Linked DNA regions of Schizosaccharomyces pombe. Changing the gene in region 4 together with the main gene of any one other region gives a genetic interaction. Each region holds a gene or a part of one and is shown on either strand. Other genes may lie near its edges.

What was found.
Region 1: mutations in ask1 (region 4) and reb1 together harm fitness more than expected from each alone (negative genetic interaction), as found in Schizosaccharomyces pombe (2 studies listed by BioGRID).
Region 2: mutations in ask1 (region 4) and ccp1 together harm fitness more than expected from each alone (negative genetic interaction), as found in Schizosaccharomyces pombe (3 studies listed by BioGRID, with this or other methods).
Region 3: mutations in ask1 (region 4) and klp6 are lethal when combined (synthetic lethality), as found in Schizosaccharomyces pombe (3 studies listed by BioGRID, with this or other methods).

The regions. Positions count from the first base shown.
Region 1 is NC_003423.3:191,252-195,608, forward strand, and holds reb1 (RNA polymerase I transcription termination factor/ RNA polymerase II transcription factor Reb1), read right to left. Parts: upstream 2,359-4,357; 5' UTR 2,292-2,358; coding exon 1,315-2,291; exon of another isoform or gene 1,274-1,314; coding exon 947-1,273; intron 896-946; coding exon 685-895; 3' UTR 501-684; downstream 1-500. Other genes in the region: asparagine--tRNA (Asn) ligase Slm5, read right to left, coding at 37-163, 238-425; ubiquitin ligase Mfr1, read left to right, coding at 3,427-3,547, 3,594-4,357.
Region 2 is NC_003423.3:2,391,449-2,399,348, forward strand, and holds ccp1 (CENP-A histone disassembly chaperone Ccp1), read right to left. Parts: upstream 4,134-7,900; 5' UTR 4,114-4,133; coding exon 4,041-4,113; exon of another isoform or gene 3,951-4,040; coding exon 3,840-3,950; exon of another isoform or gene 3,771-3,839; coding exon 3,255-3,770; exon of another isoform or gene 3,162-3,254; coding exon 3,127-3,161; 3' UTR 2,995-3,126; coding exon of another isoform or gene 2,346-2,994; 3' UTR 2,255-2,345; coding exon of another isoform or gene 2,226-2,254; 3' UTR 2,121-2,225; exon of another isoform or gene 2,110-2,120; intron 2,059-2,109; 3' UTR 2,024-2,058; downstream 1-2,023. Other genes in the region: pib1 (ubiquitin-protein ligase E/phosphatidylinositol(3)-phosphate binding protein), read right to left, coding at 1-649; protein mug20, read right to left, coding at 1,103-1,156, 1,211-1,478, 1,522-1,655; tlg1 (SNARE protein Tgl1), read left to right, coding at 2,226-2,254, 2,346-2,994; eIF2 alpha kinase Gcn2, read left to right, coding at 5,227-5,343, 5,393-7,900.
Region 3 is NC_003423.3:528,358-537,038, reverse strand, and holds klp6 (kinesin-8 family plus-end directed microtubule motor Klp6), read left to right. Parts: upstream 1-1,890; 5' UTR 1,891-1,947; coding exon 1,948-1,978; exon of another isoform or gene 1,979-2,018; coding exon 2,019-4,342; 3' UTR 4,343-4,846; downstream 4,847-8,681. Other genes in the region: rhp14 (DNA repair protein), read right to left, coding at 1-54; rps1902 (40S ribosomal protein eS19), read right to left, coding at 1,052-1,407, 1,581-1,656; WD repeat protein, Vid27 family, conserved in fungi and plants, read left to right, coding at 5,060-5,082, 5,135-5,227, 5,297-7,586.
Region 4 is NC_003423.3:1,559,810-1,566,970, forward strand, and holds ask1 (DASH complex subunit Ask1), read right to left. Parts: upstream 3,843-7,161; 5' UTR 3,756-3,842; coding exon 3,739-3,755; intron 3,684-3,738; coding exon 3,536-3,683; intron 3,458-3,535; coding exon 2,699-3,457; 3' UTR 2,517-2,698; downstream 1-2,516. Other genes in the region: app1 (actin cortical patch protein), read right to left, coding at 1-1,313; protein trafficking protein Pga2, read right to left, coding at 1,828-2,226; protein meu25, read left to right, coding at 4,093-5,961; septation protein Uds1, read left to right, coding at 6,594-7,161. UniProt on the Schizosaccharomyces pombe protein: Component of the DASH complex that connects microtubules with kinetochores and couples microtubule depolymerisation to chromosome movement; it is involved in retrieving kinetochores to the spindle poles before their re-orientation on the spindle in early mitosis and allows microtubule depolymerization to pull chromosomes apart and resist detachment during anaphase.

The DNA.
Region 1 (4,357 bases), 1.4 Mb from region 4:
TAGACTTGCAGTATATTCAATTTTGAAAGCACATACATCATCATTTATCTGGCCGTAAATTTTTATTTTCTCAGCCAACAGTTCATACTGCTGCAATCCAAGTTTTGCGTTTTTAGAAACTGCCAACTGGCCTTCAATATTCACACTAGCACCATATGATAGCCTTGATAATAAATTAATGTTAGTAGGAAAAAGATATCATATAATTTAGATTTTATGTCTCCTCCTCAACCATACTTCTTACTCTGTTCAGGCGAAGTCACCACTTGAAGGGCTTGTTGACATGTACCATCAGAAACCATGGCAAAACAAACATTTTTTAGTTTTCGGATAGATCGTACCCAGCCGTTTATGCTTATTAACTCTCCATTATGTGGGTGATGCCATAAAGACTTTAAAGTTTTTGGTAGTTGGAATTTATTCATACGGAATTAGCAAACAATTCAATTTTAATTATTAATTTACAAAAAATCCTCTATTGCTAAGGAAATTATGAATTCTTCCAAAAACTATTCGCCAATAACTAGAAATGCAAAGAGCGGTAGTAGTAAGGCGACTTTACATATCCTCAGTATGAAGGTGTTGCGTTAAGAATTAAGTCATTTTAATAAGGACTTGTAAAAAGATACAAAGTTACTTAAGTAAGTTAAAACAAATTTTTTCGTTCAAAAAATTGTAAGGACGTCAATTGGAGAATCCAGAAAGTACCACTTTAAAGTCATCAATGGCTGACTTCGTGGCTTCTAGAAGAGGAAGATTGTCGTAACTTGGTATCATTTTTTTCAAATTTATAAATTGAAACAACATCTGATCGCGTGTCCATCGTCCATTAGCTTCTTTTACGATATTTTCCCAATGAATTTTACCACCATTGTTCAATAACGAGTCGTAAATCCTTAAATTAAAATATTAGCAAGCAAGAGAAATTATGTAGGTCAATACTTACCTTTCTAAGAGCCAAACGTTTTCTTGAAGTTCAAATTTTGAAGCAGCCTTCGTCAATTGCTGAAATTTATAACGACACTGTAAACGAGTCCTAGTACCTAACATTTGGGCAACAAGCGTCCAATTAATGTCAGAACTTAAGTCTTCACGGTTACGGAGTTCAGCAACTATTTGCAATAACTGAGTTTCCTCTTCCAACGACCAAGCATTTCGTTTCAATTTATCGCCAAAACGTACTACGTCGCGCCAACGATCACGACAATCATTAGGCATTCGAGCCATTTTACGACCAATTTTCGTCCAGCATTTACCATGTTCAACAACATTTCTAAACGTTAATGATTTTTGAATAAAAATATAAACACATACTTTCTTAATTCTTCATCTTCTTCTTTGCTCCACACACAGCGATCTTCAAACGGGTTATATGCACGTCGTACATGGTGATAAATACTCTTGGCATCACGATGGGAAAGCTTTTTATATAAATTAGAGTAAAACATTCTGATTGTTTTTGGACATTTTCCTGCCCAAATTTGATTGCAAAATTGATACTCGGACCATCCTTGATCCATAATAAAATTATGTACTTCTTGGGAAATAATGGCAGTTTCCTGGACCCCGAAATCCCCTCTTCCAGAAGAATTTTTTCTACTATATTTCTCATAACCTGGGATGTTGTAAAGGGCCCGGAGGTGCCGTAATATTGTTCTTCTGGTAAAACTAGGCATTTCTTGAACCAATAATTTAACTAAAGAAGAGAGTGGCCCGTGAAGTCTTTTTTCGTGTAGAGAATCGGCTACCTGTGTATGGTCTAATGAATAGGTTTGACAGAAGTTTTGCATTCGTCGTTCTAAATAGTCCCAATGTTCCGCAGTCCATCTAGCACTACCTTTCAAAAATGGATCCATATTGGTAATTTCCGAAGGGCTTATTAAAATAGAATCATTTGTTTGATTCGAAGTAGAGTTTCTCATGGCATTCACACCTTTGTTAACTTTTGACAAGAAGGCGCTCGAATCCACATTATCATTTCCTAAAGCTATAGAAGAGGAGGCTAAAGCATCCAAATGAATGGATGTATTTTGTTCAGAAAGGTTGGAGTCTTGGGCTTGAAGAGACATTAAGGCCTCGAAATTGCGATCATTTTTACCATCTTCTTTAATGCTTAACGCGGGAGAAAACTTAGGCTCTATTGATCCAGAATAGTCATTGTTATTTGTTTTCAATCCTTTGTTAAGTGGAAAATCATCAAAATCATTCTTTCGTTTCCTTGATGATTGCAAAGAATCCACGCCAATAAATCCATGAATCTGAAGTTCCGGATTTAATACGGAGGTATCCATAAAGATTATATTTTTGAAGTACTATAATTGAGTAATCACTTCAACTTATCAATCGCTAATATCGTACAAAACGCTTCGTGAGCTTTAATTCGCAGTTTGCTAGCACAGCGATTTAGGAAGGGTGGGACACAAACTGAGGAGTGTAAATCTGAAATAAAGATGGTTTGTTATTAAGGGATATATCGACACGCTGCATTTCCTTATAGGCAATGCTAAGTAGTACAACGAAAACATTAATGATATACAAAAAATGTTGTTTTTGCTTACCACTTAGTACAAAAAAACTCATATTTATTATCGTCCTAAAATATGAAATTGTACTATTAATCAAATAAACAAGAAATGCAGAAATATACCAATAGTATTTAATTGGAAAAATTAGTAGCATACGAAGATTTGTCTTTAAAAATGAATATCCCAAAAGAAATACAGAAATAGTTAGGAATAAATCAATTGAAATGAGAATGAGGAGAAAATTTTTTTTGTACTCACATACATGGTAAAAAGTATTTGCATTCGATAGTAGTTGGAATTTTTTTGAACGAATCTATAGCACTATTTACTCTGTTACAAAACAACTAAAATAAATGTTTAATTAATTGAACATTTTGAAGAAATTGGGTTCTTGGCAATAAGTTTACAAGACCGGGATCTGATGATCATAATAAACATTCAGAAAACAATGGGTTTGGCACATCGTGGTCAACTGATCATTGTTGTTGTTTTTCTATGAACATCATATTTTAGGAGTTCTCTTACCATAACATCACCTTTTGCTGGTTGATGACTATAATATTGTTATTGAGATATTTTTTATCAACAGTTTGTTTTGATGAGTGCATTTGTTTAGTTTAAACGGTAGCATTAGGTAATACGGCGATCACAGGATAGCTTTATTTTTAGCAGTTATACAGAGTATTTAGCAAATGTTTGTTTACTGCAGTCATTATAGCTCATAATTAGCATTTTTTCAAGCCACCTGGTTTCATAATTCTGTAGCAATGTCTTGCAGACGGGCAGAAAAAAGCACTCAGTAAAAACAAATAAAGCATGGAAGGTATTTATTCACGAAATAGGAATCTCAACATTTCCCTTCCATCCCGACTAACTTCAACTTATAAAGAATTGGTTGACAATGGGAGACCGATTCATTCCCATTCGCAACGTTAGCAATGAGTTCAACTTTAGTTTCCAGTCATTCAAAGAATGTGTGTTAAGCCATGGATCAAATCTTAGGCGCAAAACCTCTGGCACTAGTATGTACCTTTTTTAGTTTTATATTCCCATTACTAACGACAGCAGTTCAAAGGCAATTCATGGAGCTACTAAGCATGGAGCTCTTCGGTTCACAAGCATCTCGCTCTAGAGCCTTCTATTATGGAGAAGACAAAAGGAAAATTGAGAAGAAAATGTTGGATACACCTGATAGAAAATCATATTCTCTATCTCCTATTTCACCGCAATCTCAAGATATGTTGCGGCAACCACAAAAGCCCAAAAGAGCTTTTCCAAAAACTCCATATAAAATCTTGGATGCACCTTACTTAAAAAATGACTTTTATTTAAACTTGCTTGACTGGGGCCAATCTAATGTCTTGGCAGTCGGACTAGCAAGCAGCATTTATCTCTGGTCAGCAGCAAGTGGTAAAGTGGTTCAATTACATGATTTCGGAGCAACAAATCATGTCACAAGCGTCTTATGGACAGGTAAAGGAACTCAATTAGCTGTAGGGACAGATTCAGGAGTAATTTACATCTGGGATATCGAGTCTACGAAATCAGTCAGATCTTTAAAAGGTCACTCCGAAAGGGTGGCAGCATTAGCATGGAACGATAATACCCTCACAAGTGGAGGCAAAGACGAAGTAATTTTACATCATGACCTAAGAGCACCAGGTTGCTGTGCCGAAATGATGAAAGTTCATGAACAAGAAATATGCGGATTGCAATGGGATAGAAGTCTAGGACAGCTTGCTTCAGGAGGGAATGACAATAATTTATTCGTATGGGATTACCGCTCTTCACGTCCTTTACATAAGTTTGAAGAGCATACAGCAGCGGTCAAA
Region 2 (7,900 bases), 830 kb from region 4:
TACTTATGTATCTTCTAGCGTGTTTCAAAAATTCAGTCATGTTTCTTGGAGATGAACTATTATTACTTAGACAATTCGCAACATGAGATTCCCGTTCAGAAAGGGTTTTAAAACTTGAGAGAGGAGCATAGCAAACTGGACATTCAACAAAATCATCAGGCTCTTCAATCCTCTGCAAATTGTTTCCACAGGAAGACTGTATAACTTGATTGTTAGATCGAGTAGTGGTATCATCGTTCAAACAAGTAGTGATAGGATAGGGTAAATCCAGTTCTTTTAGTTCCGACAATTGCTGACGACAATTGACACAAACTCGTACATTGATCCATGAAGAGTCTTGTGAATCATTATCATCATCATTATCATTAGCAAGAAAATCAGGATCTCTAATAAACATGTCTTGTGGGATAAGATCCTCAGTTGGATCTACTGAAACACTGCTCACAGGAAGCTTTGCAAAACTATTGCAGCAATTGTAACAAAAAAGTTTACCACACCATCTACAATGATGTCTTCTCCGAAACCAGGTAAAAGGACCACCACAATTATTGCACTGCGCACTTTCATCGTCCAGTTGCCAAATTGCCGCCGGCGTTTCAATGAGTAAGCGTCTCAAAGCCTCTGGATAAGTCGTCTCATCCTCGTCCATACTCAATTTGATAAAAATTCATTAAACTATGTTCGAGAGCAAAAAGTTGAGTACCCGCTAGAATGGTGTTGAAAGTTGCCTCAGGAGATAAGGTCAAAACAAAAGGGTAACTTATACTGATCAAAGGAATATGATTACCGGTGGAAGTGGAAAACTCACTGCATATCGCAAAATAAATTTTTTAAACTTCGTTAACGTAAGAGAATAAGATAATAAGTCATTTAGAATATCAATTGTAGTAAATATCAAAAAGCTATCCAAGAAGAATAACTTTATCAGAAATTACGCATTTAAACATCTTTTCTTTATGTATGTTTCATAGAGCTCAGAAGCAAATTTAGCGCCGTTTCATTTAGACCTTAATATAACGATGTCAGCGTGTTTGATGAAAGTTGACTTTCTTCGTTATTATCAAGCTTGGTTTGAGGCAGTATGACATTAGATCTCTGAAATTTAAAAATTGTCGAGAATAGCTTTATGAGTTGAGGTTTCAATCATCTTTAGTTTCTTTAAATTTATTGAGGTTAGTAATATGACAATATAATTTGTTTTTATGTTTACCTCCATTGCACATTTGAGCTTATTTTGGGAATTACGACGATGCTGAACTAAATTCTTCTCAAAATTCTGGGAAAGTGCCTGAAATTCTTCCAATGCATATTCTTGGGAAGAAATAGAAGAGATCTTACTATTGACGGACTCCAATTCTGCGTTTATACTATTATATTCCACCAACAGGTTTGACAGGTTTTTCGAAGCATCCAGCTGTAATTTATCTAAAGCACGAAGCTTCTCCTCTGTCGTTCTTAGGCTTTCTAAAATCACGTCTCTGAATTGTTGGGTCAATTAGCTGAAGAAACTTATGGACGTACTTGACACGTGCATTCAAAAAATATGAATGCAATGCACTATCATGATGCTCACTGAATGCTAATACTGCTTCAGATACCATGTTAGCATGGCGATTGCTCAGCTCTGTTTGCAAAGACGTTATAATTTCAGACATGTTGTGGTTCTTGATAACATGTTAATAGTGTCTACGCGTCTTTTGTTTACATCAAGCTAGCGATATATAGCGTACTGTTTTAGCTCACAAGACTTTCTTTGTGTTCAGTTTCTCTTAAAACATTTAGTCTTAGGTTTTTAGCAATAGAATTAATTTTTTAGCACAAAGGCTAGAATGAAAGATTGCTTTTGGCCATTGAAAACGTTTTATTTACCTAGATGTTTACATTTAATCTAACATACAACGGTGGAATACGGTTGAATCAAAACAAAATAGTGACAAGGGGAGGTTGCTGTTTTTTCAACAAGATTGAGATATTGCTTTCTTATTTATTCTCCATTACTTGTTTTGTAAGGACTCAATGTTTACGGTGATCTTTGAGTGAGCAGTTAGGTAGCGTTATCTATCGTAAAGTCGTTACTTGACTGAATCAGCACAGTACTTTAGTATTTGCAGACAGCATACCTGATAATACGAATTTGCTTCGTTTATTTTATATTATCTTATTTTTCTTTAAATTATAAAAGCATTTCCAAGTAGAAAATTGGCTCATATCTCTACATCATCAACATGGAGGACCCCTTTTATGAAGTCAAAGCGTAAGTTGTGCAATGATGAACCAGAAATGTCTTAATAGATTCCTTTTGTTGCTTTAAGATTTTATTTAACTGACATTTATTCGAAATATAGGGATGCATCAAATCAAATGGAGCAAGTGCGAAAGCTTTACAATTCTTTTATGGCCGCACGAAACTCTGGAGTCCTTTCACCAAATACTGAGCTTACTTACGCCATTGATGAGTTAAGCGAAACATTGAAGGACTTAAAAGCTGCTGTGGAAATAGCGATGAAAAATTCTGAGCATTTTGGGTTAGATGAAGAAGAACTAAAGTCGAGAAGGAGATTTGTCTCGGAACTGGATATTGAGTTAAACAATATACAGTTAAAGATGGGTGCTGCCCCAAGCACACCAGTTTCTACAGAACCTTATACTGTTGACAATGGTGCCTCAGCTGGTTTGTCTGAAGAAGATCATGCTGTCAATCGACAATATCAAGAGCAGCTTTATCAGCAACAAGACGTAATGCTGGACGGGGTTTACGACACGATTGGAAACATTCGTGGGCAGGCAGCTTTGATGGGCGAAGAATTGGGTCAACAGGCTGACTTGTTAGATACTCTTGACAATTCCATTGAGACCACTAATAGTAAGCTTCGCAGGGGTATGAAGCGGTTGAAAGATTTTACGATTGCAAGCGCAGACTCTAAATCTGGATGTTGTATTACCGTACTCATTATCATCTTAATTGCATTGTTGGTATTGGTTATTGTGCTGTAACTAAATCTTTATATTGTATTATTTAATTCTTTGAACCATCTTCCCAATAAACGAATAACCAATCATTCCATAGGTAACCTCGAGCTTTGGGAAGACAAAAAAAATTTCATGTCTGTGTTCTCGTTCCTTAAATTAATTAGACTTCTTGGACTTTTTGGAAGGTGGTTCTGCGATTTTTGTGTTAGTTTTACAATACATTGACATCTATCATATCATCTATTCATGCTTTCGCCTTATTTTTTTAAGACCTGTTTTCGTACCTTGCTTTTCTTCGTCCCCTTCTTCGTCTTCTTCGTCTTCTTCTTCCTCATCTTCCTCCAAATCTACTGACTCATCCTCATCACTCGCTTCTTCGGTCATGGCTTCTGTAAAATATTTTACAGCATTTGGAAAAAGATCCTCTGCCAGAAAAATTGTGAGTGTTGCTCCATCAAAATCATCGTCCTCTTCCTCTCCGGTCCATTGAAAATAGTCAAAAAAATTAGGAGGTAATTTTTTATTTTTTCTAAATAAACTCTTTCCTGGTTTCCAATGTATATCAACAGGTTGCGAAGTATACTTGGTTATCTTTTTTTCCAAACCCTCATCATCCTTTGCTTTTTCCTCTTTAATTCTCACTTCTTTTACCAAGGTAAGGTTGTCGTCCTGAAGATATTCGTTTGGTTGAAAGGTAAGCGAAATTCGGACATCCCTTGGTTCCTTTTCATTAAACCTTTCAACATAAATATTTTCGAGTTTTTCAAGTAACACACTATCTTCAGGTGTTATGTACTGGCCTGAAATAACTTAATTAGAATTTCAACAATGTTTAAACAAAAACAATAATAGTATACAATTTTACATACTGATTTCATCCCCAGCAGCTTCCAGAACTACTACCCAAAAGTTGTTAATGGTCTTCAAAATATCACGACGCTGCTCAAAAAGCGGTTGAAAAAGCTCATTTTGTTTCTTCACTAGCACCAAGATACATTAGCAATTGTTAACACATTTTTTATAAAAAACGTAATTTTATGCTACAAAAATGCAAAATCGATTAAACATACATATTTCGATTTCTGCTTTTCCAAACTCTTGCTCTAGGTTTGCGAGATTTTCAAAAGCTTGAGCTGCCTCCATTTTGTAGGTTAATTTCGTGCAAGGGAGAAAAATCTAATAGTAATTCGAAAATTCTCACTTCGTCAACGATGATGAAGGCACTACCCTTACCACGTTTTTACGTACGATGAACAATGCTAGCAAAGTATATCAGAGGCTTTACTTTCCAATATAATGACTGCCGTAGCTTCTGTAGCTTGCAATAATTTAACCTTGACTTTTTCAACAGTATACAAACCATCCATATTACTAGTAATCGAGCAGGATTCTAGTTTTTAACTCACACCATTTTCATAGGTTGTTTTTATAAGTGTAATAACTTATTAGTCTGAACAAAGAGTAAAATTAGAAAATAAACTGTAGTTTGCGCGGTTTCGAGCTTTCAGGCTAGCGTGCTTGCATTTTCCAAACTTCTCCTGACCATGATGAAGAAAGGAGAGGAGGAAAAAAGGTATAACATTTCGAATGCAACTACAAATTTGTATTATATTGCATTATATGAAACGCTGTTATAGTTTACTGGTGTATCTATTTTATCAGTTATGAAGTATGTCTTTGTAGTTTAATCAAAAATCCATGATTATGGTAAAACAATGAAGAAAAGTTAACCAAACGCGATTAAAAGTTAAAACTTTTTGACCGCTTCACTTCAAACAATGAAGCGCTTTGCATACAAATGCAGATAATCATTATATCCAACTGTTCGTTATCGATTGAAGATCTGAAGTCTGATTCATCTTATCCAACTCAAAATTACATCTTAACTAAAGAATGTATGATCCGTGCCGATTATCGCATTTATTCGGCTCAAATCAATCTATACTCATTACAATACCAGTATACTGCGTTCTTCCATCTTTAGTATACCACGAGCGAGAAACTTCTTCCTCCAGCAAATTCGCGGCAAACAAGCAATTTATCTAAAAATCCAATTCAGAGGAAAGAAAAGAAATAGAATTGATAATAATTATATTTTCAAGTCCTATATTGCCGTCCTGATATAAACTGATTTGCTTTCTTTCCTTCCAGTTTACACAGGACGAATTTTCAACCAACAGTTTAATTGTGAATAAATATATTTGCTTCCTATTAAACTAGTAAATTATTGGCAACAATAGTTGGTAAAAGCTGTTCATGGATGCGGCGAAACGTCTGGAACTATGCAAGGAAATTCAAGAAAATGAAATTGAGGCCCTCAAAGCCATTTTTATGGATGATTTTGAGGAGTTGAAAGTTAGGAATGCTTGGAATGTATGATTAATGTTTGTTCACTACCCATTTACTAACAATGGTATCTTAGGTTACAAACGGCCATGTTTATTGTATACATCTATGTTCAAGAAGTGCAAACTCTAAAAGTATTGCGAAACTTGATCTTTGTATTGAGCTTGGAAGAAGCTATCCTTATGTGAAACCAGTGATCAAGTTACAAAATGGAGAAAATGTCCTAAACTCTCAGATTCGATTTTTGCTTGATAAGTTAGATACAAAGGCAAAAGACTTGCTAGGAGAGGAAATGATTTTTGAACTTGCCAGTATAGTGCAGGACTATCTTAATGATTGGCAGTCTGACCTCTCTTCTCAATTTGCTAGCTTGGAAGAGGAACGTGCGGTACAACTAAAGCATGATCGAGAGAGAGCGGAAGTGGATTTACAACTTAGGTTAAAACGGGAGAAAGATGCCTTATTTGAGGAAGAACAAACGCTTCAGAACAAAATTCAAGATGAATTACAACGCCGCTCATACGAAACACCGCAATCTTCTTCTAAGAAAAAGACGAATAGTAAGGAAACAACTTCTCTCGAAACCCTCCCAACTTCTATTTATTTTGATTGTTCTATATCCGTTAGAGACTGTCACGATTCTTTGGTTACATTTAATAGAGTGCTTCCTTTGTATACAATCTCGCATTCCAACCTTTCTACTTTGACTTTGGTCAAGCCTGAATCTAAAGAGATATCTTTACAGGATTGTGTTTTTCTACTTAGAACCGTCCGAATTAGTACGCCTTACTGGAGTACAGAAGACGGAAAACGTGAAATACAGGAATTAGAATATGAACTTGAAAGTCTGAAAGTTATTCGGCATGATTTACTAGCTTCAATTTATGAGTATCAACTGGAAAGAGAGACACGAGGTTATGGTTGGAGGTTGTACGTTTTGCAAGAATATTCTCCGAAGTTCACTCTGTTTAGTCTTTTACAAACCGTCCTTACTTTAGACGTTGAAACCGTTAGAGCTTTTTCAAACAATATTTTAGAAGGTTTAGCTGAGCTGCATCGTCTTGGAATTTCACACAAAAGTTTGCACTTGGACAATGTGGTGCTTTTTCATTCAGGCCATAGAACTTTTGCAAAGCTAATGGATTTTGGGTTTACACGCACTTTACGAGACATGAACGCATCTCATCCTTTTAACATTAATTCTCAATCCATTACCAATATTCTACCGGAAGGGCTGTATCCCCCAGAGGTTTCTGAGTCATCATTTGCAGCTGCATCGAGAAAAACTGACATCTGGTGTTTTGGACTATTAGTATTGCAGATGCTTTGTGGAGCTCACGTTTTGAATAAATTCTCTTCACTAAAACTGATTATGACTCATGTAATTCCTCTTCTTCCGGGGTCTTATCAAGATTTGGTTCGTCGCTGTTTAATGCGCGATTCAAGGAAACGCCCTAGCGCCATTGACTTGTTAAGTAGTCATGTCATTCGTTTGGGTACAGCAGTTCTTCCTCCAGTTGAGCAGGGTACCTTTTCAAAATCTGCACGCCCTTCTTATGGTGGTCAACAGGATGGAATTATTGATTTGTTGTACAGGAAAAGCGTTTCACGTTATGAAACAGATTTTGAAGAACTTGAATTTTTAGGACGTGGCGGTTTTGGTGAAGTAGTTAAAGTCAAAAATCGAATTGATGGAAGGTTTTATGCGGTTAAAAAGCTTGTCCTTTTGAGCGATGATAAAGAGAATAGCAGAATTTTACGTGAAGTTATGACTTTGTCTCGTTTACATCATGAACATGTAGTGCGTTATTATACTGCTTGGGTTGAAACTGAAGCTAATGATACTGTAACTGAGATAATTAGCTCCGATAGTGAGTCGTTGAGTCAATCTTTAAATATGGCAGTGGACTTTCGGCAATCTTCAAGTCTTCCAGCCGATAAGCTTTCTAGCCTCGATATTCACTTTGAAGATGATTATAATTCATCTGCAGACGAGGAAGACCCTGAAGCTTCTGACATCTCCTTTCAGTATTCTAATACTTCAGATAAAGAAGGTTCTTCCGATAAAGACAGCAGCATTGAAGAAGCTTCTTCAGTTAAAACACAAGAAAATGGTTTGAATGCTACGCTCTACATACAAATGGAATATTGTGAAAAGTTGTCATTGCAAGATATCATACGAGATAAAATTCCTGTGGATGAAATGTGGCGGTTGTTTAGACAAATTTTAGAAGCTTTGGCATATATTCACAGTCGGGGAATGATGCACAGAGATCTTAAGCCTGGAAATATTTTTTTAGACGAAAATAGAAATGTAAAGCTTGGTGATTTTGGCTTGGCTACAGAAAATGAAAATTACCAAGATAACAATGACAAATGGAAAAATCGCCAATCAGCAGATGAAGATCTCACAACAGGTGTCGGTACAGCTTTGTACGTAGCTCCTGAACTTCTCAGTAGGCGTAATGGGGTACGCTACGATGCAAAGGTTGATATGTATAGCTTGGGTATTATACTCTTCGAAATGTGCATGACTTTTTCTACTTCTATGGAAAGAATTCGGATAATTGATACTATTAGATCT
Region 3 (8,681 bases), 1.0 Mb from region 4:
TCTTTGCTCCTCGATTGTTGGATTCGGTGACTTGACAATTGACGAATTTTCCATTACGGAAGTTTTTTTATTTTATTTCCCTAGTATGATAATTCAAAAAATCAAATAATAATCCAAAATGAGAATGGCTATTGTTAGAAATGAAACAATCAATAAGAAAGCAATTTATAGATGTCGATACGGGTTTTGTAATGACCAAGCTTCTTAATCTCTAAGTCTCAATTTAATTACAAATTTTTTGATTTTTTAATGAAAATATAATCTGATTGTTCAATAATTAAAAGAAAAAATGCTCATCCGTAAAGAATTCATTAGAAAGGTAATATGTGAAAGGTTAGTCAGCTTTTCTCATCATAAATCATGGAGAAGAGAAGTCACCAAGTTTGCTTCATGAGAAAAAGTACCAAGTTTTCATCCCACATTTTAATTTTATAAACTGTATATATATATATTTATATTTCTGCATCAATTTTGTGAGTGCGCTTCTCCTTTAATTTGAAATACCAAAACACTACAATATAGTTTAAATTATCAAACATTTAGCATAAGAGTACATTACATTACTTTCTTTTGGCTTCAATGCTTCTATTTGCATAATCTTAATAGCAGGATATAATAAAATATTGTCCCTTGTCCTTGTATATTTAGCTAATATATGAGGTACAATAATTAGAGACGATTTGTAATAAGCAAACATAATGTTGACTAAATAAACTCATCAAAAGGATATTTTGATTATGAATTGGTAGGATAATCGTTTTTTAACTATTAGCTAAAACAGACGTTTGAGAGACGCTAAAGCTCTGCGATTACCGAAAGTGCTTCAACTAGACGAATTCCAAACAAAAAAAATAAAGAATTCTTGCTTCAGATATTTTTAAATCTTAATGATTTTACCAATAGCGCACTGACATTGACGCTTCAGTCATATACGTACTATGAAGTTATGGTGCCAAGACCAGTAATTACGAGAACAGCATACCTTTACACAAAACAATTAATGGTATAACAACCCACGAAACATCATTTATTGATTAAGCTATTCCTTTTTTTATTCTTCATCCTCGAGTAAGGAGTATGCAATGCGGTCCAAGTCACGTTGACCTTGTTGTGAGATACGACGGCCACCGTTGTCGGACTTCTCGAGGACACCGATTTTTTCCAAACTTTGAACGACTTTGCGTTGGACACTGCCAGATCCATCACGGTGATGAGAAGGACGCATGCCACGGTTGACGGAACCACCATAGACCTTGCAGAGACGACCAACACCGACTTGCTTACGAAGGTAAATGTGACGAGCAATAGCGGCAGCACGAACGTAGTACCAATCAGGATCGTACGGAGCTAATTCCTTGTGAGTACCGGTCTTGACAATATCAATCCACTGAGGAGTGGTCATTTTACCTACGGATCAGTTAGAAACTTGCTTTATAGAAAGAAATGAGTGAGTAAATGTTAATAAGCTACAAGTTCACTGTCAATTTCACACGTATGCTAAACAATCTTATTCTGTGATCAGACAGATGAAAACCTTCTACAACCAAAAGTTCCCATTAACAGCTCAATCTTCTACCTACCGGAGCGCTTTAAAAAAGCAGCATAAGCATTGATAAACTGCTGAGCATCGACGTCCTTTACGCTAACACCTGCCATTTTACCGTTACTACTGGGTTAACCGTTAATTTAGCTGGATTGGAATGCTATACCAAATTCGATACCAACTCATAAAAAGTGACTGCTAAATATAAAAGTAACTATTTGGGGATTTAAAATACATAAATAACTTGTATATTTTATTTTTAATAGTTTTATTTTATTTTTCTTGTATTTTTCTTGGTAATTTTTTCATTGTTTACATTTCAAGCTTCCCATACTTGTGTTCTTCTTAATAGCTTCACACAACTAAAACAAATTCATTCCTAGAATCAGTATTACGATACTGCTATGAAAGAAGGGTCTTCAATTTCCGTTGCAGGTAAGAATTTCAAAAAAATCCTTCGAAACTGACCATCAAGTTCGTGTACGACCGTTTACTGAAAGAGAAAAGGGATTGCTCGCGGAAACTCCGAAATCCAAAGAATTTCTTGGAGATGGAAGTTTGGCAGTGTCAAATACATCTTCGAATACTTTTTGTACGAATGGAATTCGAAAAATTGTGCGTGTTTTAGACGATAACGTGCTAATTTTCGATCCTCCTGAAGAAAATCCATTGGCCAAAGTCCAAAAATCGCTATTACCTGCAGGGAAACGCTTTCGGGATGTTCGATATGCATTTGATCGTCTTTTTGGTGAAGAAGCCTCACAGGAGGATGTTTACAAGGGTACCACAGAGCCGTTGTTGGACAGTGTTTTGCAGGGATATAATGCCACTGTGTTTGCATATGGTGCTACAGGATGTGGTAAGACACACACAATCAGTGGTAGACCAGACGATCCAGGCATTATTTTTTTAACGATGAGGGCATTGTTAGATAGAGTTGAAGGACTCAAGCGAACGATGAACGTCGACATTAGTGTCTCATATCTTGAAATATATAATGAAAAGATTCGAGATCTTTTAGTACAGGATCCCCTTTCTATGGAAAAACCAAAATCGTTAAATATTTGTGAAGATGCTGAGCAAAACGTATCCGTTCCTGGTCTCTCATATTTTACACCAACTAATTTGGAAGAAGTAATGGAGATTATTATTCGTGGAAACAGTAATCGAACCATGTCACCAACAGAAGCCAATGCTGTTTCGTCACGCTCGCATGCCGTTTTACAGATTTATATCACGCAAACTCCGAAATCGGGTGAGAAGCAGGAGGAATCAGAGTCCCAAAATTCCCATAAAGTCCGTTCCGTATTCTCTTTTATTGATTTAGCAGGCTCAGAGAGAGCGAGTGCAACGAAAAATAGAGGCAAACGTTTAGTAGAAGGAGCAAACATCAATCGGTCTTTACTGGCATTGGGAAATTGCATCAACTCGTTGTGCGAACCTCGTCGTCGACAACATGTTCCATATAGAGACTCGAAGTTGACTCGTCTTTTAAAGTTCAGTTTAGGCGGAAATTGCCGCACGTGTATGATAGTTTGTATCTCACCGTCGTCGGAGCATTATGATGAGACACATAATACCTTAAAGTATGGCAATCGAGCCAAAAACATCAAAACGAAGGTTTCGAGAAACGTGGTGAGCGTAGATAGGCATGTAAGTGAATATGTACGCACCATTTACGAATTACGACAAAAGGTTAGCATACTTCAAAAGAGGATTGCTGAAGAGTCTAAGCAATTGGCTTTAAATAAGGAGGTACGAAAAATTTCTTCTCGAGAAATTAAAATGTTAGATGCTAGAAGCATGCTCAAAAACTCATTTGATGGTTCAAGGGATCTGCAGAAATCACTAATTGAACATGTACGTACATTGAGAAGGATTGAAGATGAAATCACATTAACAAAGATGTGGATTTCCATTGCTAAGGAAAGTGATGCTATGTCGGGGCATAATATAAAATCTGTCGAAACAAGACTTGCAAAGTTATACGATCAAAGAAGCTTGATTACTGCCAAAGTTAATCCAGAAGAAATCTGCAAAACTTTTCAAAACAGTATTTCTCATATAGTGTCTTCGTTCAAAGGTGAGGGGGCTGATATGTATGCTGACATGTTGCAAGACGACGTCGATTTGTTGAAATCTATTATCGAAAACCAAATTCTTGATGCCAAGCATGAGTCTGAAACATTCTCTTCAACGTCTCGTAAGCTTATCCAGAACCTATTCCTACTATTCCCCCTGTTACCAGGAAATGCCATTGATGTTAATGAATCCCTTGCAAGGGCCTTTGACCAATTGGTTGGAATAGTACCTTCAGAGCCAACCATTCAAGTTCCCAATTTAATTGAAAAAGGAAAAGCACCTCTATTATCAATGTTTGAAATACCTCGCTCTCCTAGTCGATTCAAGGCTCGCTCACCATCCAAAGCTGCTCGAGTTCTAAAGAAGCCTTTGAAGAAACGAGTTCGATTTAGTGAAGTTCCCACTACTAGTTCCGTACCTCCTGTTGAAATAAAGAATAAAGATTCGAAACCGAAAGTGGAAAAATCTTTAGATAAACATAATATGAACAACGATCGCTCTTTTCTTGTTCCTTCGAGAGATGCCCGAAATAGCTTAACGTCATTGTCATTGCATTCTAATGTCGCGAAAAACAAAAGTTCTCATTCTTCCAAATGGCCAACTCATACTCTGAGTCCTATAATTACAACTGCACTGAAACAACCAGTACGCCGTATATCGCTTGTTTCACAACCTTTACAAAAAACTGGCGGGACTGAGAATACTCCTAATGCTTGAAGAAACCAACGAGATCGGTTTTCACTCAAATAGTTGGTATAATTTTTTTTGGAAGGACAACATCAACTCCTCATTGGCTTTTCTTCATTTTCATTTTTAAGCTACTTATGATTTAGCATTTCATCATTTTTTTGCATTCCCCTTTAGACACTGTTTGACATATCCATGTATCTATGAACCATAGTCGCGCCGTTCTTTTATTTGACGAATTTAATTTATAAGAGGCCTAATAATTTTTGATATTCTCATGTCAAGGTGAAAATGCTTTTGTTTTGTGCACTGTTCATCAATTTTTAATTTAATCGGGATAATGATTGACCGTTTATGCCAATTTGTCTGTAAGCAAGAAATCCCTATTTAATAGCACTTTTGAACAAGGCGTTAAAGTTAACGATCATATATTTATATGGACTTTGCATCAATTACTCGTTTCACATTTTGCATTCCATTTTCTAATTCGGTGCTTTTCTTTTAATAATATTTGTAATTGAAAAAGTAAAATAACTTTGAAATTGTGTATGATTATTCATCTTGCTTATTCAGCTAGCGTTTTGTATTAGGGACGCCTTTAAATGTAAACATAAGTAACATTGTTACTTGATATCGGCGTATTTCATCATGCCTGGCTGAACGATTTTATGCTCAGCATATACCTCTGATTTCTCATTTGTATAAAATAGCGCTTGTCAAGCAAAGAAAAATACTCAAAAATTAACAATGTTTATGCTAAAATCATTGGGGTAAGTGCTAAAGTCGCAATTGATGAAATAACAATACTAACTTAAGATCTAGGAAGTACATATGGGGTAACACGAATTCGACCGAAATTGTTCAAATCCCTTATGGGCAGCTGTATTCGGTGCATGAAAATTACAGGGAGTGCATGTAAGTTTGAACGGAATGAGATAAATCATTAATATTTGTATTGGGTTCGTACAGCTAACGATTGTATAGGTTCAAGGATGCAAGTGCGTCAATTCGACGAACAACGGCGGAATTTCAGTATCAGCTTGTCATACAAAGAGCATACGAAGAAGGAGAAGAAGAGCTAGAAGATGATGGAGACGAAGCTGAGGACGAACAGTCGTTTTTACTAGACGAAAAATTGCACTTGAGATTTGACGTAAATAAAGACAGCATCACGATAATGTGGGATAACCCAGACTTTCAAGATGGCACGTTGTACGAGTTTACGTGTGAGAATTGTTTACAAGAAGGCGTTGCTTATACCTTTGAAATGGTAGCTTTGCAGTGTATGTACGAACGCAAATACCGACAATCTCACGAAAAGGCTACGCTTGCCGACTTGGAGCAATTTAGCAATCCCATTACTCGACCATCAAAGGAAGTGGACAGTTTAGAAAATATTGTCACCAAGTTGGATTTGGAGTCCGAAGACTTGATGCGTTTAAAAAAGCAAGAGCAATTGGATGATGAGATTGCAAAAAAATATCTTTTAGGACAACAGGAAGCTGAAGAGCCTCTAGTTCAACAGCAAACCTCGATTGTTAATCCGGAAAAAGAAGAGGTCACCAAAACTGAAAATATCAAGAGCCTAGAGGGCGAGCTAATGGGAACAATAAGTGCTGAATTACATTTATTCGATGCAGTTGAGGAGGTTTTTATTTTACAAGATCCAAATGTGGAAGCGAGCGTATTTGACTTGGGAGATTGGAATTATTGGTTTACTATAAGCACTGAAGAGAAGACATGGTTAAGCCAGTCTGTAGATGCAGACATGAATCCAGTATTTTCTTTTGAACATCTTTCGTTTATTTGGAATTATTTTGACGCCAATAGTAATGCCTTTTCATGGTTGTTACGATTCGATTCGCAAGTTCGCATGGAGCAATTTCAGGAACTGCTAATGCGTGCACTTTGGGAAAGTCTCAACCAACAGCGTTGGCTCAAAATTGATGATGAACAGCGTGATTATGTTATGGAAACCTTTCATGAAGATGAAGAATTAGAAGATAGTGAAGACGAGGAGTTTGCTCGTCAACAGTTGTTAAGCAGGAAGGAGGAAGAGGAAGAGGAGGATGAGGAAGCCAGCGATTTCGAAGATTCGTTTGCAGATTTTAGTGACGGTGAGGCTGATGATTTGGATGAATCAAGATGGCGAAAGGAAGCTGCTAAAGAGCATAACAGTTTGTTAGCGGTAGGATATAAAAACGATAGATCTTACGTCGTCCGAAACAACAAAATTGGCGTTTTTAAGCATGTCGACGAAAAAGGGTTAAAATTCCAAACCGCTTTGAACAATCTTTCAACGCCTAAGGGCAAATCACTCCGACCTAGCAAGCTGATGTTACACAATCAAGATTCTTCGATTTTATTCCAAACTGAAAATGCGCCACATAGTCTGTATCATATGGATATTGAATATGGAAAGATCGTTGACGAGTGGAAAGTCCACGATGATGTTCCTCTCGTTACATTTACACCAGACAACAAATTCGCACAAATGACAGCTGAACAAACCTTGATTGGTCTTTCAAACAATTCCATCTTCCGAATTGATCCTCGTGTGGAGGGCAATAAACTGGTTGCTGAACAGTTCAAGCAGTATGCTACTAAGAATGACTTTAGTTCTGCTGCTACAACTGAAAACGGTTATATAGCAGTTGCTAGTAACAAAGGTGACATCCGTCTATTTGATCGTATTGGTGTGAACGCAAAGACTGCTTTACCAGCGCTTGGTGAGGCGATTATCGGGGTGGATGTCACAGCGTCTGGTGATTTTGTGCTAGCTACCTGTAAAACATATATTTTGTTGATTGACACCCGTATCAAAGAGGGTCGATATGCCGGTCGTTTGGGTTTTGAGCGTAATTTCGCCAAAGATAAAAAGCCAAAACCTAAACGACTACAGCTAAGTCCACAACATATAGCGATGATGCAGAGAGAGCTCAAGGGAGGTGCATCCTTTACACCAGCTAAATTCAATACCGGAATTGACGCAAAGGAAACAACTATTGTATCCAGTATAGGCCCATTTTTGATCAGCTGGAACTTGGATCGTGTTAAACGAGGATTTACGGATAGTTATAAGATTCGAAGATACGATGCCAATGTTCAAGCTGAAGACTTTAGGTTTGGAACCGATCGTAGTCTGATTGTGGCTCTACCTGACGACGTAGCTATGGTGGACAAATCATCGCTGCGTAGACCAACTCGGGAATCTATCTGCACTCCGGTAAAAAAATTACGATCCAAGCACGACATTGTCAATGCACCATATTAAAATCATAAATGATGGGTTGTATATCGTTACTTCGTTTGATTTGAACAAGACTTTAAGTGCACCACAATGCTCTTAATGTCATTTTTTTAATGTTTGTATTACCTGTCTGCTCTTTTTGTCATTTTTTATGATCTCCTTGGCTTTGATTTTTTTGAGCTTGGGTTCGATTTTACCTTATTCCTCCCGCTTTGGGTGTGTGCGGGCCATAGAACGAAACGACTAATGATGCCTAGTGTATTGTTTGATACTTTCGTTGTTACTATATGAAGTTGATGGTTGGCTTATTATGGGAGCATGTTTTCTTTTTTTTTGTTTTGCATATGCATACATATATAAGTAGAGCCCAGCATTATTACAGTCTAGTTGGATTTTTTACTTTCTCGTCTATCTTGTACATACATAAATTACATACTCCCTTGAGCGTTTTTCACGGACTTTGGATGATCGATTTAGTTTGCCGTCGCAAACGTGGGATTTGTTTCGTTTAGTTGTTATAGTTAGTTTATTTAATTTAATATAATCACAATTTCTTTGTGCACGTAAAAAGCAGTTCAAACATTCGAATTATCTTTGGTCGGGCAATCTGTACGGGATTTTGGGTAGGGTGATTAGACAAATACATGTTTTAGTAAACTATGAGATTTGAAAAGTGTAAATGGGGATATAAATAATTTTTTTTGTAACATTTTACACTCAAAATTATTTGCTTATCACAAGGAAAGAGATGCTCTTTACTCAAAGCAGTGACAGTGTAATTAAACATTTAATATACAAAATCATTCGTTACACTATTACAAATCCTCTACAATGTATATGTCTCATAATACTTATAAACAAACCAAATAACGGTTAATTAAAATATCAAATTTATTTATTCAATTATTCAAATAACAAGTGAATTGAAAAATTCTCCTTTCACGGCGCCAAAAATAAAAGCAAAACATACAGACAAAATAAAAGTTTGCAGCCAAAAACAAAAACTCTTCCATCATAAATTCGTTTGGGCCAGATATCTCATGACTACCTAAGAATAATAATATAGCCTCCTCTTGCTAACAAAGTCAAATCAAACTTAGTAAATAAAATAAAAGATAA
Region 4 (7,161 bases):
AAAATTCCCAAAATCCTTTCGGGAAAACATGCAGCCATTTCAGCATAAATTTGAAGATCTTGCTCACCATTATCACCTATCAAAACGATTTTTCGATCACCCAGAGACCGTATTGCAGTTAACAAGCTGCTACGCTTACGTGCGGCGGCGGGCTCGATAATGTTTTGGAGTACCCCATTAAAGTGTCTAAGATAAATGGAAGATATATAAGGCATGTTATCGTTGGTAAAAAATTTGGACAATGTGGGCCATAGTTGCCAAGGAGAATTACTAACAAAGTGTACAGTAGCGTTGAGATTTGTCATAACACGAAACCAGTCGGAAACGCCCTCGATAGTCTGTGTATTTAAAGGAGCTAAAAGGGTGGTCTCTCCTACTTTCCTAGGCCCTTCAATAACTCTTGTATTTTTCACAGTGTCATCAATGTCTGAAATAATGGAAATACCGTTTCGATCTAACACGGGTACTTCGCTCATATAAGCTTTGATCACTTTATCCTCCGAGGTAGATTGTAGAAGAACAGCTTCCACAGAAAACTTGTTATTTTTAGTGGTGTAAAACGGGATCACTTCATCTATAATAAAATATCCTTCAACATTCGTAGCAACGTTAAATTCAGCAACAACTTTCTGCTCAAAATTCTTATCAGTAGCATATATTTTTACCAAAACAAACTCATCTTTTAAGCCTCGTTGCAGAGACGCTAAAGAGCGCTCCTCAAAGTATTCCTCACATTTGGCCAAACCTATAGTAGAAATGTATTGAGAATTTACCGAAGGAGTCATAATTCGATTAAAAAATCCTGATATTCCATACCCCGATTGATACCAACTCCTTGAGGCAGACAATGAAGGGTTAGGTACATTCACGCCATTTCCCTGTAAGTCGTCGGGAGTCGTATGCAGGGACAAAGGTGGATCATTCTCAGTTTTAGAGGTTGATGATAATTCAATATCATTAGGCTTTCCATCATTCACGTTCACGTTCAATTGAGCTTTCGTGTCTACTACAACCTGCAAATTTGTGTTTTCGTCATCCTTTTCAGGATATGTTCCCGTTTCTTTGGATTTTGGAGGCAGACCGACATATCTACGAAGTAAATTCAACATTAAACGATCTTTACGACCAAGATTATTGAGATCAGGGTTCTCGTAAACCCAACCGCGAACATGAACTGATATGTGCTTGGGTTCACTACCGTACTCTTTACCAGTACTAATGAAACATTGAGGATAAATGGTTATTGAAGTCAAATCATTGATAGTAGGGCTCTCTTCAGAGCCCCTAAACAAACGTCCAAATGATCGAAACATGGACGGTAAGAGCCCACCCCGAAACGTAACATGTCAAGCTCAAAATAAGCAAATTTGAACCCATATGCATGCGTTAATAGCGTTTATCGTAATATTACCGCAAATACTTAAATTTTGTTAGAGCATTTAAGGATTATTTAGAATACGTAATATTTCAACTCAAAATACTGGAATGAGTGGGAAAGAAAAATAAATTGATCTAAACGCTGAAATTAAACCTAACAGGGGATTGATTAAAGCTTGGCTCACGAAAAGATATTATGACTTAAAAATGCAAGAAAAAGGAGAAACAATCAAAGGACTTTCGTTGATCTCGTAGGAAAAGAATGCACTCTCAAATTGCATTATTAATCCTACATTCAATTAATTAGCTTTTGCTTTCATCCATGCAGTCACGGTTTCAAGAGAAAAGGATATCAAATTTTCACAAAGAAATTAAAACAATGATTAACAAACTAAATGACACAAGTTTTCTAAAGTGCTTGGAGTAATGAATATTATCTCACAACTAGAATTAATCCTCAAGGTGCTCTTCGATGTCTTCATCATCATCAGCGTAAGCATCAAGAGGAGATTTGTCTTGATTCTTAAAGTATTCTTCACGTTGTTTGCGAATACGGCGGCGTGCTGAATAACCCCAACGGAATTCGGCATCAGGATTTTCTTCTTCTTCCTCATCATCCGTGTCAAATTCTCCATGTTCTTTGGGCTTCGTGCCATGCGTCATTTCCGGATCTAAAGTACCATCTACTTCGCCTTCTAATAAAGATTTTCTATGTTCTCTCTCCTGTATCTTGGCTCCCAACTTCATCAAATATGGCCGGATTAACATATATCCTCCAACATATACGATAATTCGAATCCAGTCCTTCAATGAATATGATTGTAAATAGCCTGCAACGTCAAACCCCATTTTCCTTGCACAAAAAAGAGTGGTGGATACTAAGTTCACCTGTCTGCTCAACCAGGCAAACTATTATTAACCAAGTCACTAAAATTCTTTAGACTTTTTTAGAATTTTTAAAACCTCGTTATTCGTCTTAACGTATATTCTCAATGATATGCTGTAAAAAGATTTATTAATTAGGCTATAATACTAATTTATTTAAAAATTTTATAGTTATTTGCTTTCTTAGTTTATTTTAAAATTATTTTCATACAAATTTTACTTGGTTTACAGTATTTATACCGTGACTTATGATTCTCTTAAAAGAAGAATTTTCCAAATTAAATAGAACGTACAGTAAATAAAAAATTATATAACATAAATATAAGGTGGGATTTTATGAAGTAGACATATGTGCTTAGAAAATAAATAGAAAAAATGCGAAAGTAAGGTTCACTACTAAAGGCGAAACGAAGGTGATAACTTCAGCAGTGCTTTATCAGAGTTCCCAACTATCTTCTTCTTTGACAAAACTATCATTAGAATCATTCAAGGTTTCTAATTTCCTCTGCAAAGACAGGCTTCGCTCGTTGGCTTGCTGAGAAGAACCCACCCCCATGGTATGCGGGCTGAATTGGATAGTTTTAGGTGGAGACATTCCACTTGGGTTAATGCTATCATAGCTTTCATGCTCAAATTCTGCAAATAAAGAAAGAGCATGCGAAGAGTTTCTATCGTTAAGTGAAGGCATGTCCATTTTCATTGATATGGGAGAAGGCGATACAAAAGGAGAAGAATCAATATCCATTACTTCTTGAGATTGCAAATTCTTAGGCTCACGTGGAGTCACTTGTACTTGCCAATTTGTATCTAAAACGCGATGCAGAAGGGCACTACGACCTGTATGAGGATTATTTTCTGGTTTTCTTAGCGGAGTCTGCATCCTTGCCGGGATGGGGGTCAAAGCTGCATCATCTAACGAAATATCCTCTAAGGAGACATCCATCTTCTTAGGAGTGGACTGTACAAAATCCTCGTTTTTTGTATTATCTCCTTGTACAGCTGCATCGGGAAAATCAGATTTTCCGACAAAAGAATGCCTCTTTTCCAAATGTTCATTCTTTGTGTGCAGCTGTAGGTCCGCCTCTGTAGAATTAGACATAACATCTTGATCGCTTGGATTGGATTCTACTGGAACAGGTTCCTCTACACCCGAAAGTGAAACATTGGCACTTGCTTCAAAAAACTGCTTCCAAAACTGTTTTCTGTTAGCTTAATTCTTAAAATAATACAAATTACAAGCTGAATCATGAGTGGCAGTTGCCATTGAACATACTTTTGAAGAGTCCCATATAGTGTTACAATTTTTTGCGTATTTTTCCACGATAGGCAAGATTTTGGTAGTCACTGTTCGATGACATTTAGAAAAATTTGCATCAATTTCGTAAAGTGCTAGAGTAATCGATTGTTCCAATCGTTCTAATCTAATTCTTTTGTTAGAGAATGTTTATCTACAGTCGCGACAAGTTTACTGCATACTGTTCCAAATTGTTCATAAGAATGACATCTAATACTCATAAAAACTTTGAAAATATTATTTCTTAGTATAGAAACTCTCAATGGTGAAATTTATGGCGAACTGCAACTGAGGTGTAGGTATACTAGCGTCCATTATTAGCGATGTTTCGTAAAGTAAACAAGTTAAATTGGCAATATACAGTGAGATTTTTGTAAGTTCAAGATAATACTAATACAATCATTGTTGAGTAATAAATATGAATTTTAAAGTTTTGTTTACTTTCCTCAGTGGACTAAATGCAGACTGCAATGATCAAATGATCCATAGTAAACAAACATTCAACTTGTCTTTTGCCAGCATCCTCAAGATCCAAAATGAGTAGTATCTTTGGAGAGAATATTGTTTCAGATAGTATAGTAAATATGGAGTTGACGAACCCTGATAATACTACGACTATGCATCCCATCTATGAAACTAACATTGAAAAGGAAGTCCAGCAGGAGTTTTCTGACAATGTCTCTGAAAAAGAAACGATTGACTCAACTAAAAGCAAAATATCTTTAGAAAATATACAGCAAGAAATGGGAGCACTTGCCAAGAAAATTTTTCATAAATTAGGGGTTAAAGCAACCGACTTGGGATTTTCTAATGAGCATGATGACTCGCAGGATTCATTACAGACACTAGCGCCTTCTCCATCATATGTTCCACTTTTGAAGGTTATTGGAAGCTCTGAGGAGGTCAATAGCAACTTGGTATTAACCGACTTGGAAACAAATACTGATGGATATGATCCTAAATTTTTGATTTCTGTTAGGAAGTTTTTGATGGGATCTCCCAACTCTGGCTTTGTCGTTAAACATGAGAAACGTCTTCCAGATGGACCGCGTGTTCTGGCCCTTCGAGCCATTTCATCAGTCGATGAAGAAAATAGAAAAGAGCGCCTATCTCCTGATAGTGATCCTGTTGAAACAGAATCTGTTTATGTTGACAATGGAGAATTGTCAAATCAAAAAGTAGAAACAGTTGAAATTTCCGAAAAAGAACAAAATGATGATCCCGCCGGATATTCTCAATACCTTCTAGAGTTCAAGAAGAGTAAATGTCAAAAGAAAGTGCCGACTTTAGAGAGTATTGAGGAAAATGAAGGAACGGAACCTCATGACAACTTGACCTTTATGACTGATTTGGGAACTCCATACTATTCTCTGGGTAATGAATTTGAAAGAAAGCAAATTTTGGATGAATACGGGTTGCTGGCTAATGATGAAAACCTAGTTATTGGACACACGTTAAGAGCGGAGTATTGCTTTATGTTTGATGAAAGCGATATCCTGCAATTACGCAATTATGAACATACAGAAAAGGAACTTAGTGTCCTTCAATTTAAAGGGGTCTCGTCACGTTGGGATTTTCGTTGCTGTAGAGAAGAACGTTTACTCCGATTGCTACTATGTTTCGACAGTGAACATACTGGGCAATCTTTCATTCAACTGAACGATCCTGAAAATGAAAATGAAAAGGAAGAACAAAATTCCATTAGCATTAGGGAATTATCCTACTTCAGCACAAAACTTATTTCATTGATCTTACCCAAAGAAGCACATAAGCAGCGGTATATCATGCTAAGCTCCTTAGCAAAGACAAGGGAAGCTGATTTCTTTTGGTCTGAAGAGGAAAAAACTAATTATACAAACGAGCTTCTCAGCAACCCATGCAAATTCCTTTGTGAACTAGATCATTTCGATTCATTTCCTCATCAACAACAAGATCTACTCTGGAAGTACTTAGCGGAGTTTTCTGCTAGTTTAGAGTTAGACCCCAACCTTGCCCTTTGGAAGAAGCAAGTTATTTTTTCAAAAATCGGTCATCCGAAGTTGCTGGTTATGCCAATATCTAGTTTCCACTGCGTACAACGTTTCCCTGACCTTGTTTGCGTTCAAACTTCAACTGCTGAAACGTTTTTGTCTGTGGATCGTGAATTAACAACTTATGACCTAAACACTATTAAGTTGTTAAACACAGCACCTAGTCGTACAGCTCAAAACTGGCTTTTTATCATGCATCACCTAGAAATTGTAGGCTATTTATTTCCACATTTGGTTCATCTCGATAAACAGTATAGTTTATTAGATTATGCAAAGTCTGTTGAGCACATTCCAGAATTGGGCACTGTACAACGAAAAGGGTTTTTGAACAAAGTCGCATTTGATGATAACGAGGCTTTACTTTACCAAGTTTAAACGTACTGTCACATAATTTTCTATCACATGTTATCGACCATTCAGTGTTGAGGTTCCTAGGAATCTCTTCTAGGATGGTAGTGTACCTTTTAAGCGAAATTTTGTTTCATCTGCACATTCATTATTTACAAACCTATACGAACTTGACAAAAGTTTTTACGAATATACTAAATATTGACTTATTAATACTTGAAAATATTATCACTTTTTTTGAGGTGGTCTAAGTAAAAATGTGTAGGTCGAATTCGTCACATAGGGTAATAAATGTAAGTGTAGGACCGTTAAAGTATGCTCTAAATAATCTTTTAACATATAAAAAGTAATGTGGATTATTTGCAAACACCATAATGAATGTTGATCAAAATACCGGTTCAACGTCGATAAATAACAAACAGCAGAGCCCACCGATACACAAACCTAAAATTGCAAAGGGACTTTAATAGTCGTATAATCTGGAGAATGAAATGCTTAGCGACCGATCATTGCAACGTGATAATAGGTTGGCTTAGGTGCTTTGTTTATTTACATTTCAATGTTAGTTGTCATGGAAACGAAATTCATACAAAATAAAGCGTATGCGGCTGTAAACAAACAAAAGATTCAACATTTACATTTACCCATTTTACCCAAAAATGGGGTTTCATGGATGTTTAAGTACAGATGAATATGAACCTGAGTTAATTGAGAAATATGGGAATCCTGAACCACCTTCTTCAAGCATATTAATTAATACACGACCAGTCAATCCATTTTTATCCACTTTCGTGTATGTAGGAAAGGCTAGCAGTTCTGAAGATGTGTCTATATCTACAGGTGAGGAGGAAATGCGAACCCTTTTAGTTGCGTCTGCTGTTAAAGATGCAAAAGGTTGGGTGTACCTTTCCGGAAAAGACGTTGAAGAAATAAAACAGAAAATAAAAAACCTGCAGGGATTACTTGGTGTTTCTATAAAAAAACTGGCTGTCGAAGCCAAAATTAGAGAAGCTGCTAAGAATTTGATGGTTGCCCAAGCTAAGGAGAAAAAAGGAAAACATAAACAAAGTACGATAGAGCATTACGAACAATGTTCTCGTAGAGTTAGAGAACTTTCTTCTAAGATATGGCTTATTGAAAGGAAACTTGCAGAATTTTATATGCACCTATTGAAGCATATGGTTGCTGTGTGCATTGCTGAGCTTAAACCAGGTAGCTGTAGCAAGG